3 linked regions of the Oryzias latipes genome follow. The protein of the gene in region 3 interacts with the protein of the main gene of each other region in a pairwise test. Links are inferred from orthologs where the notes say so. Each region holds a gene or a part of one and is shown on either strand. Other genes may lie near its edges. The genes, in order: nvl, heterogeneous nuclear ribonucleoprotein D0-like and heat shock protein beta-1.

Region 1 (3,758 bases), on a different chromosome or scaffold from region 3:
TAGTAGTGCTTTCTCTGCTTGTGTGTAGTGGTGTCATTGAACAGGACACTGAACCCCACAATACCTTTTTTGGTCTGGTTAGTGACTTGACGGAAGACCTGCCTTCATTTAGTGTGAATCCGATCACCTGATTGAAAATCGGGCCCGGTCACATGGTTGATGACTCGATCAAAATTGGATGTTGTAGCTTGAACAGTATCAGACATTTAATTTATTCCTGTTATCAGCGCTTTATATTTCAGGCTTCATATTCCAGGTAAATGCTCTACTGGAAGTCTGCATATCATGAACAGATCAGCACATTTATTGTGGTGCTAGTTTGCTCAAAAACAGCTAAGCTTAGCTAGGCTAACATAATATAAGCTAAACTAGTAAGATATTCACAGATTCAGACTTCTGGGATTAAAACCTTTTCAAAAAACGTTTTAAACTGACGACAAGTGTCTATATTGAGTGGTCTTAACACAAAAAGCAACCAACAAAGCATGTTAAGAGATTTTTTGCTTCTTTTTAATAGAAACGGCACTCTGTGGTGCCAAAACAGACTCAGTGAGACACTCCTGTGGGAGAAGGTCATTTAACCCCTGAAGACCCAATCCTTTTTATTTCTCTTCTTGGGGTCCTGTTAAGCACAATTAATGGCTTTGGTAATAAAACCCAAAATGTGATGTCCACGCATGTTGATGTCTGGTCTTAAGACGTTCAAAAAGAATCCTATGTTGTCTAGAAAGTACAACCAAAACTAATAAATGGTTTCATTGACATTAATACTCATCATCATATTTATGCTACAATTGTTAAAGAAAATGTTTTTTACAAATTTTAATGGAGATATGAATCACATCTGATCAAAAATGTTCAATAGTTCTGCAGATACTAAAGCTAAAGTCACTTTAAAGTCACACTTTCTCCACATGACTAAATATCACCAGTTTTTACTAGGTAATAGTAACCTATTTTTACTACTTGATAGTTACACTATTCCTACTTGATTGTAGAGTTACTTTACAGAAATTCTATGTTTAAGTGTTAATAGGTAAAAAAAGGTTAAGAAAAGAAAAAAAAAATCATCTGTTTATTAAATTTGTTCGTTTTTTTTAATGTGTTACAGAACTATCGGATCAGGACTCGGTATCGGCAGATACTCAGAGTCATATGACTTGGAACTGCATTGGGCCCAAAAACATCTGATCAGGACACCCCTAGTGTGAATGAGTGTGTGCATTTTGGTGAATGGGTCCTTAACAGTAAGAGCTGTGGGCCTTACTCAAGGTAGAAAAGCTCTGGATATTTCTTCTGCAATCTACCATGGGAGCAAACAAGGCTGTGATAGGTGGGGTCTATACCTGCTCCACCCGCTGCCTGAGGCGGCTGTCCGTCCAGCCACTACTTTTGTTCTTCATCTTCTCATCAGAAACCTCACAACTGAAAGAAGTAAACTCAGAAAAGTTAAAATCCAACAAACATAATATCAGAAATAACCAACAAAAAGAGTCTCTGTTCAGCAGAGATCCATCAGTTTATGCAAAATGATTGATCAATCGACATCTCAGCCGTTCTGCTTTGACTTGAATGAATGTAAAAATAAATGTCAAATCCATTCACATGTTAGTTTCCTAAAGTTCCCCTTTGTTGTTTTTCCACATCCAAAGAATCCAAAGGGAACATTCTAGAACATTCTAGACACTGGATGGTCACATGACTTTATTCAAAGTCTGTCCACACACTGGACTGGAATGATGGACGGATCCGTGTTAATGACATCACATGTGTGTTGTAGTAAAATAAACCTACCATGCCTCAATCTAGATAGTATTTTCCAAGAGGATTCGATTATCGATGCATTTCATTTTGAAAATATAGGTCGATTTGATCTCAGATCAATCTGGTTGATTGTACTGTACCCTGCTGTCTTTACGACTTTACATCCTTCATTCAGGTAAGTTTATCTGATAAGGACAGTTGGGTGGCTTTATCTAGAATAATATGCGGGTAGGAAAAGCTCACGACGTACACGCAAAGGCTTCGTTAAAACCCCTCAGGGCTCTGATGGACCGTGTCCATGACATGATCATGAACATACCTCACTTCGATGCTCCGTCCTCCTCGTGCTGTTCGTTAAGTGACGTTACGTACATTACTAAAGGCAGCAAAAAAACCCGACCCACTTTCTGAGAGGGAAAGAAACCGAACTTGAGGTTTAATGGTCCAGCTTTCGTTCACCACATGGGTCGCAGGACGTTACCTTGGCACGTGAACCCCCAGAAAAGAAGGCAATAGCCGACAGCGCCTGGAAGCTCGGCCTTCTTCTGGTGTTTTTTGGCGTATGGCACACAGCGTTGAGGGGCATTACCGCCACCTACTGGTAAGGAGTGTGAGTAAGACCTATTAGTACGCCACACTCCACAGGCTGGTGGAGAAGCCCCTGGCTGCCGAGGTGTGGCTCAACGTGGGGCGGGGTTAAATGCGTTGTCGTGCTCCTCCCACTGTAGGTTATTTTTCTTCACTGCAATTGCTGTGTTTTTCTCCATTTTGCGTTTCCACGTGGTGAAATATTGCCACCTCCCAGATTCAGGAGTGTATCTTGAGATGATTATATTAAGGCTCGCCATTTACATTTTTTTTAATTTAGTAAAATATTTATTTTGATTTTTGGATATAAAGACTTTGAGGGGTTTTTTAGAGAAAAAAAACCAGCCGTTTTTCTTCATGGCTACGGGCAGACTGAACGGTGATGTGTCAATCATATAAATATATCACATAGACTTACACTAGACTAGACTATGCAATTCATTTTTTCCCGCATCTGTATTCCCTGCTTCTGCTCAGTTGACAAACACACCACCCTCCTCATCCTGGAAAAACAAGCCAAATCTGGGAGCACTTCACTTTAATTGATGATGTGAAAAGAGAATTTTGAGTCTGCAAGAAAACAATTCCATCTAGAACTGGATCCACAACCGACCTGCACCTGAGAACTGAGAGGATTTTCTCCTAAACAGAGCAGATCATTAATGACTGAAGAAGCTTCACAAAGATGAGACACTTTGTATTTTGGAATGACAACCTTTACTGTGACGAAAAATCACATACAGTGGGCGGAGTTAAACGTTGAGGCACGCCTCTGTCTAAACACTGCAGCCAGGGGCTTCTCAATCGATTAACTGAAAACGTCACGTGCCAAAGAACAAGTTCCTGATTGGTAGATGCGACGCAGCACCCTGAAAAAAATTCAGACGTCTGGCAGCGCAGCCAGACCTTTGTGCTGCACCCGAAGCTCAAATTGCGCCGCAGTACCTAAAATCACGGCTGTACCATTGACTTACCATAAAACAAACTGGCTGCCCCTGCCGCACGACTTGCGTTCGGCGTGTACGCAGCTCTACAGTGCTCATTAATTTCTGGAGCAGCAGCTGATGGATCAGTCTGGGACATACCATTGATCTGCAAATTTAGTTTAGATTAAAGTTCAGAAAAGCTGCTAAACATGAAGACCTTTATAAAGAAACAACAGACTGCCTTTGGAACTAAGGGTGAACAAGGAGTGGGGTGACTTCCAGCAGAACCCATTTCAATGAAAGACAAAGGGCAAATCAGAGACGTACACATACCTGCAGGTATCCTTATATTAAGATTTAATAGATACATCTGACTGAAATGTCCTTCAAATACATGAGAATTCATCCACAGCTTCAAAGACATGAAGATAACAGTTTTCTAATGAAGATGACAACTGAAAGGAGGTCCAATGCACATGT
Region 2 (3,678 bases), about 11 Mb from region 3:
AAAAAATAAACCTGAAAACCCCTGAGAGCGTTTTTCACAAAAGCACAGAAGCCGAGAGTGCAACATTTAATGACGAGAATTAAAGAAAAATACAGAAGAATTACACAGTTTAGGGTCTGCAGTTACGCTTTAGGTCTCAAATTGGACGCAAAACTTCTGAAAGTTCATAAATAAAAAGAGTAAATCAAGTGTGTCAAAGGATAAAAACTGGTTTAAGCTGAGTAAAAAAAAAAACGACACGAACCTCTCCAAAGGCACCAAAGTACTCTCGGACCTTCTCCTCTGGGGTGTCTGGAGACAAACCACCAACGAAGACTTTCTTCACCGGCTCCTTGCTCTTCATGGCCTTGGCTTTTTTAGGGTCGATGACTTTTCCGTTGAGTTTATGTTCCTTCTGTGACGCCACCTTCAGAACAGAAAGCAGCAAATACATAAATAAAACTCACTAAATGACACAACAACAACAAGAAAAAAATCAAAGCTGATGTAATAATTAGAAACAGAATATAGAAGGAAAATGTTGAGGCGTGTCTCCACAGAAATCTGCTGCTCATAACAACATCAAACGTAAAGAAATATTTCAAAAGGCTGACGTGTTCACTCATGAGTTTGTCTGAAATCTTCTGAATTTATTTGATAAATAATATTATTGCTTTTTTTCGCATGAAGGAAATGACTAAGCCTCCAAAATAAAAGACGAACTTGGAGCTGAAACAGTTAAATGTTAAACTGCTTCACTGATTTATTGTCAATTCAGTGTGATTCGAACAAATATGTATTTATTTCAAAAAAGTTGTGAAACAAACTTTTTTTAAATGAGTTAAGTTAATCTGCACGTATCTGTTGATTTAAACTGAACAAAGGTGAACGTTTTATGAATAAATTCTTGAATGTTTGAAATTCTTGAAAAATAAAAAATAAAAAGCTGCTTTTTAAAAAAGTCAAAACAGAAGACAGTGCTTACAAGAAAATTTCCTTGATCTGAGAGACATTTGATTAGATCAGACTGTTTTTTTCAACACCACCCCAGTAAAAACAACATTTAGGTATTGAACAGAATCGAACCTTTTCCACACTTTCGGCGTCTTTGAAGAGCACAAAGCCGAAGCCCCTGGAGCGTCCGGTCATGGGGTCCAGCTTTAATGTGCAGTCTACCACCTCCCCGAACTTTGCAAAGTAATCTTTCAGGTCTTTCTTCGTGGTGTCCCAGCTCAGGCCTCCAACAAACATCTTCCTGCCAGCAAAAAAACATTTGGAAGGAGATCCGTGGTATAAGTTTGTGTTTGTTGTGACCCAAGTCCTAACTATAAGAATCTTTCCTCGGGTTGCTGCTGGCATTTTCATTCATAAAATATAAAACGAGTGAACAGTGTGATGAAAGAAGTGAAACAGAAAGAACTGAAGAAAGCCTCTTTGTTTTTATATGACCCCGAAGAACCCACAGGGTCAAATTTGGCAGCTTTTCCTTTTTTTTAATTTATGTTTTTATGTAAATTATGTTTTTCTATTGTGTTTTTTAGCCACAGTTAATTGCTGCTCCCCGAAACAAACAAAGAAACTTTCAAATGAACTTCAAAGACCCACTAATGAAAAAGGTGTTTGGGGTATTTTTAGCATGTTCTTGTAGCATTTTTCTGATGATGGACGACATTTATGGTAAAATTAAGCTTAGACTGTGTTTCTGAGTATTTCTTTATTCAAATCGTTGTGCATCAGGGGCAGACGAAGAGTTTGAAAAAGATCATATTTGTGATGTAGAAAAAACACGCTGGGCGGGGCCACAACCTCCCTGCTCCTCTCCATTCTAATGCATCCACTTACATACAGACTAATAGATCCATCTGCAAAGCTTTGTTTTCCTCGTCTGAGCTGGAATCTGGATCTGAATTTGTTGCCCCGCTAATGGTAGCTTGGGGTTGTGAGAAGCCATAAGCTAGCAGGAGGGCTTGTGAATAGAGACCTCTCAGTTAGGGTGATGGGGGGGGGGGGGGGTCTGTGCCAATGGTCCCGCCCACAATTTAGAGGTGAATTTCTAATAAACTCCCGCCGCTCTGCAGAAACTAAGTCTTACAAAAAGACAGGTTTTTTTTATTTAGCTAAAACGGTATAATCCTAATCAAAATAAACGCCAATACATTTTTGGAACTCACCAAACGTTGCCGCAAATATAAAACAATTTGAAAATAACTACAACAAATGTGCGTCCATGGATCAACAGTGCCGTGGATAACCGTGCAGGAGCTTTCCCGGTCATCCGAGCTGTATGTCCCAGAAGTCTCTCTGGGAGTATGTTTGTATGAAAGGCTCCCCGCGCGGATAAACTTACCCTTCATCTTCTTCGTTTTTGCTGGCGTCGATCCTTGATCCCTCGGCCTCGTCCCCCATCAGGCCGCCATCCCCCTGAGCTGACATGGGGTCGTCATTGTTAGCCTCTCCATCCTCCTCCATCCTCATCATACTCGGGTCTTCGCTAAATTCATAATCCTCAGACATCTTCACTTTTTTCTCGAAAAGATCAAATGCTAGTTCTAATGAAATGATTTTCGGAAAAAAAAAAATCAAAAGTAATTTTGAGCCAAAAAAAATTCGATTTATTTTAAGCTAACAGCCAAGATAGTTGCTAGCTGCTAACAGATAACAAATAACAAAAGCCGATGTTCAAAAACAGGACGAGGCTAGCTCAACTTATTCGAAGTTATCTCAAAATTTAAATAGATAAAGAAAACGCCTTGATCTCTAAATATAATTTTCTTTCAGTTCTAATAATTTTAAAGGATATTTTTTCATCCGATATTTTAGTTTTCTTGCCAGTCGTTTCTTGTTTGTCTACTTCTGCGAATCCCAAGTGAGCATTTGAGTGCAGAGCGCCACCTGCTGCAGCGGAGATGTAACACCAGGGTAATTTGTAAATAATTGAATATTTTACATTTTTTAAAAGGGACTTTATTCAAATGAATTGTTCTCTTATTAATAAATAAATAAAGAGATTTGTTGTTTTAGTTTTGAGCCTAATTTTCCAAGATCCAATTATCTTCATCTTAAAAATCTTTAGATACAGTTCTAAATCTAAATATGAAAGACTTTTAGTATTGGACCTTTTTTTCTCTCCAAAATAATGGAAATGGTTTTAGGAGAAACCAATCAATCAATCAATACATACATACATAAATAAATAAAAAGCATGACCAACTCTATATTTGATTGTTTTGTTTAAAAATGCTAGGCAACAAAAACAAAAATAAAATTCTGAAATTGAAATGAAAGGAAAGGAAAACTGCTCAGCAAACGAGCAACCAGAAGAAAAACTTTATCAAAATCAAAAATCATACTAACACTGACACTCATGATGGCGCATCAGGGACACCATCAAAGAAGAAAAAAAGACATATGTATGAAAATAAAGTCATACAATTATTAAATAAAGTTAAAAGTTAGGAGCATTAGTTTGTACAACATGAGAACAAAGTCATACAGTTATGAAGAAAAATCTAATTTGTGAGAAGAAAGTTGTACAATTGTGAAAAATAATTCAACAATTTTCATATATAATGATAAACAAAGGCTTCAAAAAGTTGTAAAAAAATATTACATTTAGCTTTTAAAATGTGCAAAAAAACAGTTTTATACCTGATTTATCAAGAAATCTGTTTTTGTAACTGTATTTTTATGAATTTATAA
Region 3 (2,665 bases):
TATTATTTATTAGGAACTGATAATGACCTTATGGTGTTGTATAGATAATTTGCTAAAATCAAGATCAGCATAAATAGTGAACTTTGACCTTTTGTACTTAAAGAGAACTTTAAAGGGGGGGGAAAGAGCAAAACTAATTTAATTTTAAGTTTGTCTTTTTATTAATATTAGATTTGTTTTATTTTTGTTTTATATAACTTTGGAGTGCTGTCTCCATTTCCCCCAAATTAAGGTAGAGTTTTTAAGAGGTAAAAAAATTAAGTTAAGTCTTTAAATCTTTATTAAATTTGCAGTTAAAACTGTTTTACAAGGTAATGATATAATATTTTCAGAAACCTCGTACAAACAATATCATACTTCACACCGTTTTAAATTTAGTAACAGTAAATTTTTGCTGCACAGCTACAAAAAGACTTTTTTTGTCTATTCTTTTTTCCGTGTCCTTGCCTAAAATATTGATCCTTACAATATACTGTTAGTTATTATGGGTTGTAAAAAATTGGTGACCTCTGACCTGTTTTTAGGTGTAAGTTTTCATGTTAAAAAAAAGTTTGAGCTGCAAGAATGAATATTGTGACAAAACCACAATCTGTGAAAGAAATGTATTTTTACCAAATTTTATTTCTGTTTCATTGTGAAGGCTGAAATTGCATAATACAATCATTCTACAAGAACAGTAAGATAAAGACCAGTTTATAGTAAACAAAATTTTAGTGCAAAATTACAAAATTAAAAAGGACAGCAAGGGTTTGTTTTATTGGATCCAATACCATTTCTGCTTTTTATTAAGTTTAAATTAGATTATAAAAGTCTCAAATCTCCCAAAAAGCAAATGATAACATTAAATTTAAGCAATCTAGTCTGCTTTGTGTAATTTTAATAATTGCTGCTATGCACAGTTTGAGCTACTTTCTGCTCACTATGTTCATTTCTCACTGTCCTGTGTCTTTTTGGTCTGAACGGGGATGACGATCTCATTGTCCGGGCTGCTGATGGATGTTCCTGGGACGGGAGCTTCTACGGACAACATTCCTTCTGAGGACAGGGATGAGCTGATGTGCTGCAGATTCACCCCTTGTGGTAACCTCGAAAAAAATGAGAGAACGTTTGTCACAAACAGAAATATGTTACGGTCGCATCCTAAATGTGTCTCGAATTTGCTTCTCAGCCTCCTTACTTGTATTTACGAGTGAAACATCTTGAAACCAAACTGTGTTCATCTTGCTTTTCTTCATGAGTTCCTTAAAAAAAACAGTAATTATTAATAAACATCTTTATGTATAAAATGAAAAAAAATTAAGCCTACGTACCTGATATTTGCAAGTAGCCATCCTTTGTGCTGATGGAGATCTCTTCGGGTGAAAAATGATTGACGTCCAGGTTGATCTTCCAGCTGTTTTGCCCCGTTCTCACCTCAGACACACCGCTAGTCAGTTGTCTCAGACTCTTCTGGTCCGGCGTGATGGGAGGCAGGAGGGGGCTTTGCGTGTAACCCGGCCAGGAGAAAGAAGCCAGTCTCTTTTTTGCCCAGTCAAGCCAGTCCAGATCATTGGGCTCCAGGAAAGGAGGAATGCCGAAGTCCTGGGCAAAAATACGGCTTGGCTGAGTCCAGTTTGGGAAAGGATCCCAGCGGACATCTCGACGGAATATGGGCCGGGATAGTGTTTTATTTTGATCACCCATGTGGTTCAAAACTCAAGAAAAGGAGACTGAAAATAAAAGCTCTTGCTCCCACCTGACAGAAAAATGCAAGACGAGATCAGACCAACCAAAACGAAACTCAAAAACTGTAAGTAAGCAGGAGGTTTGGGGAAAAGCCTATTTTGGAGTCCGCAGCAATCCACTCACACGCTTTATATAACCAACGGCCTCCTCTTCACACTTGTGCTTTAACAAGTGTGATGTAAGGGATGAAATGTGATGGGCCGGGGCGTCAACTCTCCTGTTGCCCTGGGACTCGGAGAGGACAATGCCAATTATGTGTATTTATATCTTTTGAGTGTCTCCGGTAAGTTGTTGGGGAATGATTCTGGAAGCAGGGAGAAGTCGTGTCATTCAGCCATGGCCTCTGCAGTCCCGTCACATACTGGAGCTCTTTGTCCACCGAAACCACAGCTGCATGTGAAGCAGCACACAAAAAGTCAAACGGTAAACACAAGCGTTGCTTTTAGCCTCCCAACTTAACTTAAGAGCAAAACTGCAGAGCAAACAGGATCTCAGGGTGAAGAAGATAAAGACGTGTTTACAGCTGGTAAAAACAGATGGAGAGAAAGACTATGGAGTTCTGGAGCTGGTGTGGAATTTCACAGAAACATCTTCATGGGTTCAAAAAATAAACCGAGCTTGAGTGAGATAAATTATCTGAGGAATGGCATTTATCAGGGAGGCAACGTGAATATTTCTGAACTCTGCTCATAAACATTTCATTGTTTATCAGGTTTTAATGTTTGACACACCAGGTTACAACAGACTTGATGTCAGTCTGCTTAAGAATGTTATTAAGCACATGTTAAAAGAAAATATTGCCTGAAGTTTAGCTGTGCTATTGCTAGTTTACTAATGAATATAAAAAAGTCTAAAGTGTGCAATCAATGAAAATATGAGCATAGATCAGTTTAAAGGTGTTTTAGGGTCATCGAAAGGAAAACGCTCTTCAGTTGTAAAT

What was found.
Region 1: the proteins of heat shock protein beta-1 (region 3) and nvl interact in binary tests that used the Homo sapiens proteins (3 or more experiments, as listed by UniProt). The link is inferred for Oryzias latipes from reciprocal best matches to the Homo sapiens genes HSPB1 and NVL.
Region 2: the proteins of heat shock protein beta-1 (region 3) and heterogeneous nuclear ribonucleoprotein D0-like come close enough for resonance energy transfer, tested with the Homo sapiens proteins (2 studies listed by BioGRID). The link is inferred for Oryzias latipes from reciprocal best matches to the Homo sapiens genes HSPB1 and HNRNPD.

The regions. Positions count from the first base shown.
Region 1 is NC_019873.2:379,680-383,437, forward strand, and holds the start of nvl (nuclear valosin-containing protein-like), read right to left. Parts: upstream 2,350-3,758; 5' UTR 2,246-2,349; exon of another isoform or gene 2,084-2,245; intron 1,426-2,083; 5' UTR 1,404-1,425; coding exon 1,347-1,403; intron 1-1,346. UniProt on the Homo sapiens protein: Participates in the assembly of the telomerase holoenzyme and effecting of telomerase activity via its interaction with TERT. Involved in both early and late stages of the pre-rRNA processing pathways.
Region 2 is NC_019870.2:2,825,278-2,828,955, forward strand, and holds the start of heterogeneous nuclear ribonucleoprotein D0-like, read right to left. Parts: upstream 2,855-3,678; 5' UTR 2,494-2,854; coding exon 2,327-2,493; intron 1,235-2,326; coding exon 1,066-1,234; intron 407-1,065; coding exon 245-406; intron 1-244. UniProt on the Homo sapiens protein: Binds with high affinity to RNA molecules that contain AU-rich elements (AREs) found within the 3'-UTR of many proto-oncogenes and cytokine mRNAs.
Region 3 is NC_019870.2:13,682,086-13,684,750, forward strand, and holds heat shock protein beta-1, read right to left. Parts: upstream 1,877-2,665; 5' UTR 1,684-1,876; coding exon 1,311-1,683; intron 1,242-1,310; coding exon 1,178-1,241; intron 1,086-1,177; coding exon 926-1,085; 3' UTR 602-925; downstream 1-601. UniProt on the Homo sapiens protein: Small heat shock protein which functions as a molecular chaperone probably maintaining denatured proteins in a folding-competent state. Plays a role in stress resistance and actin organization.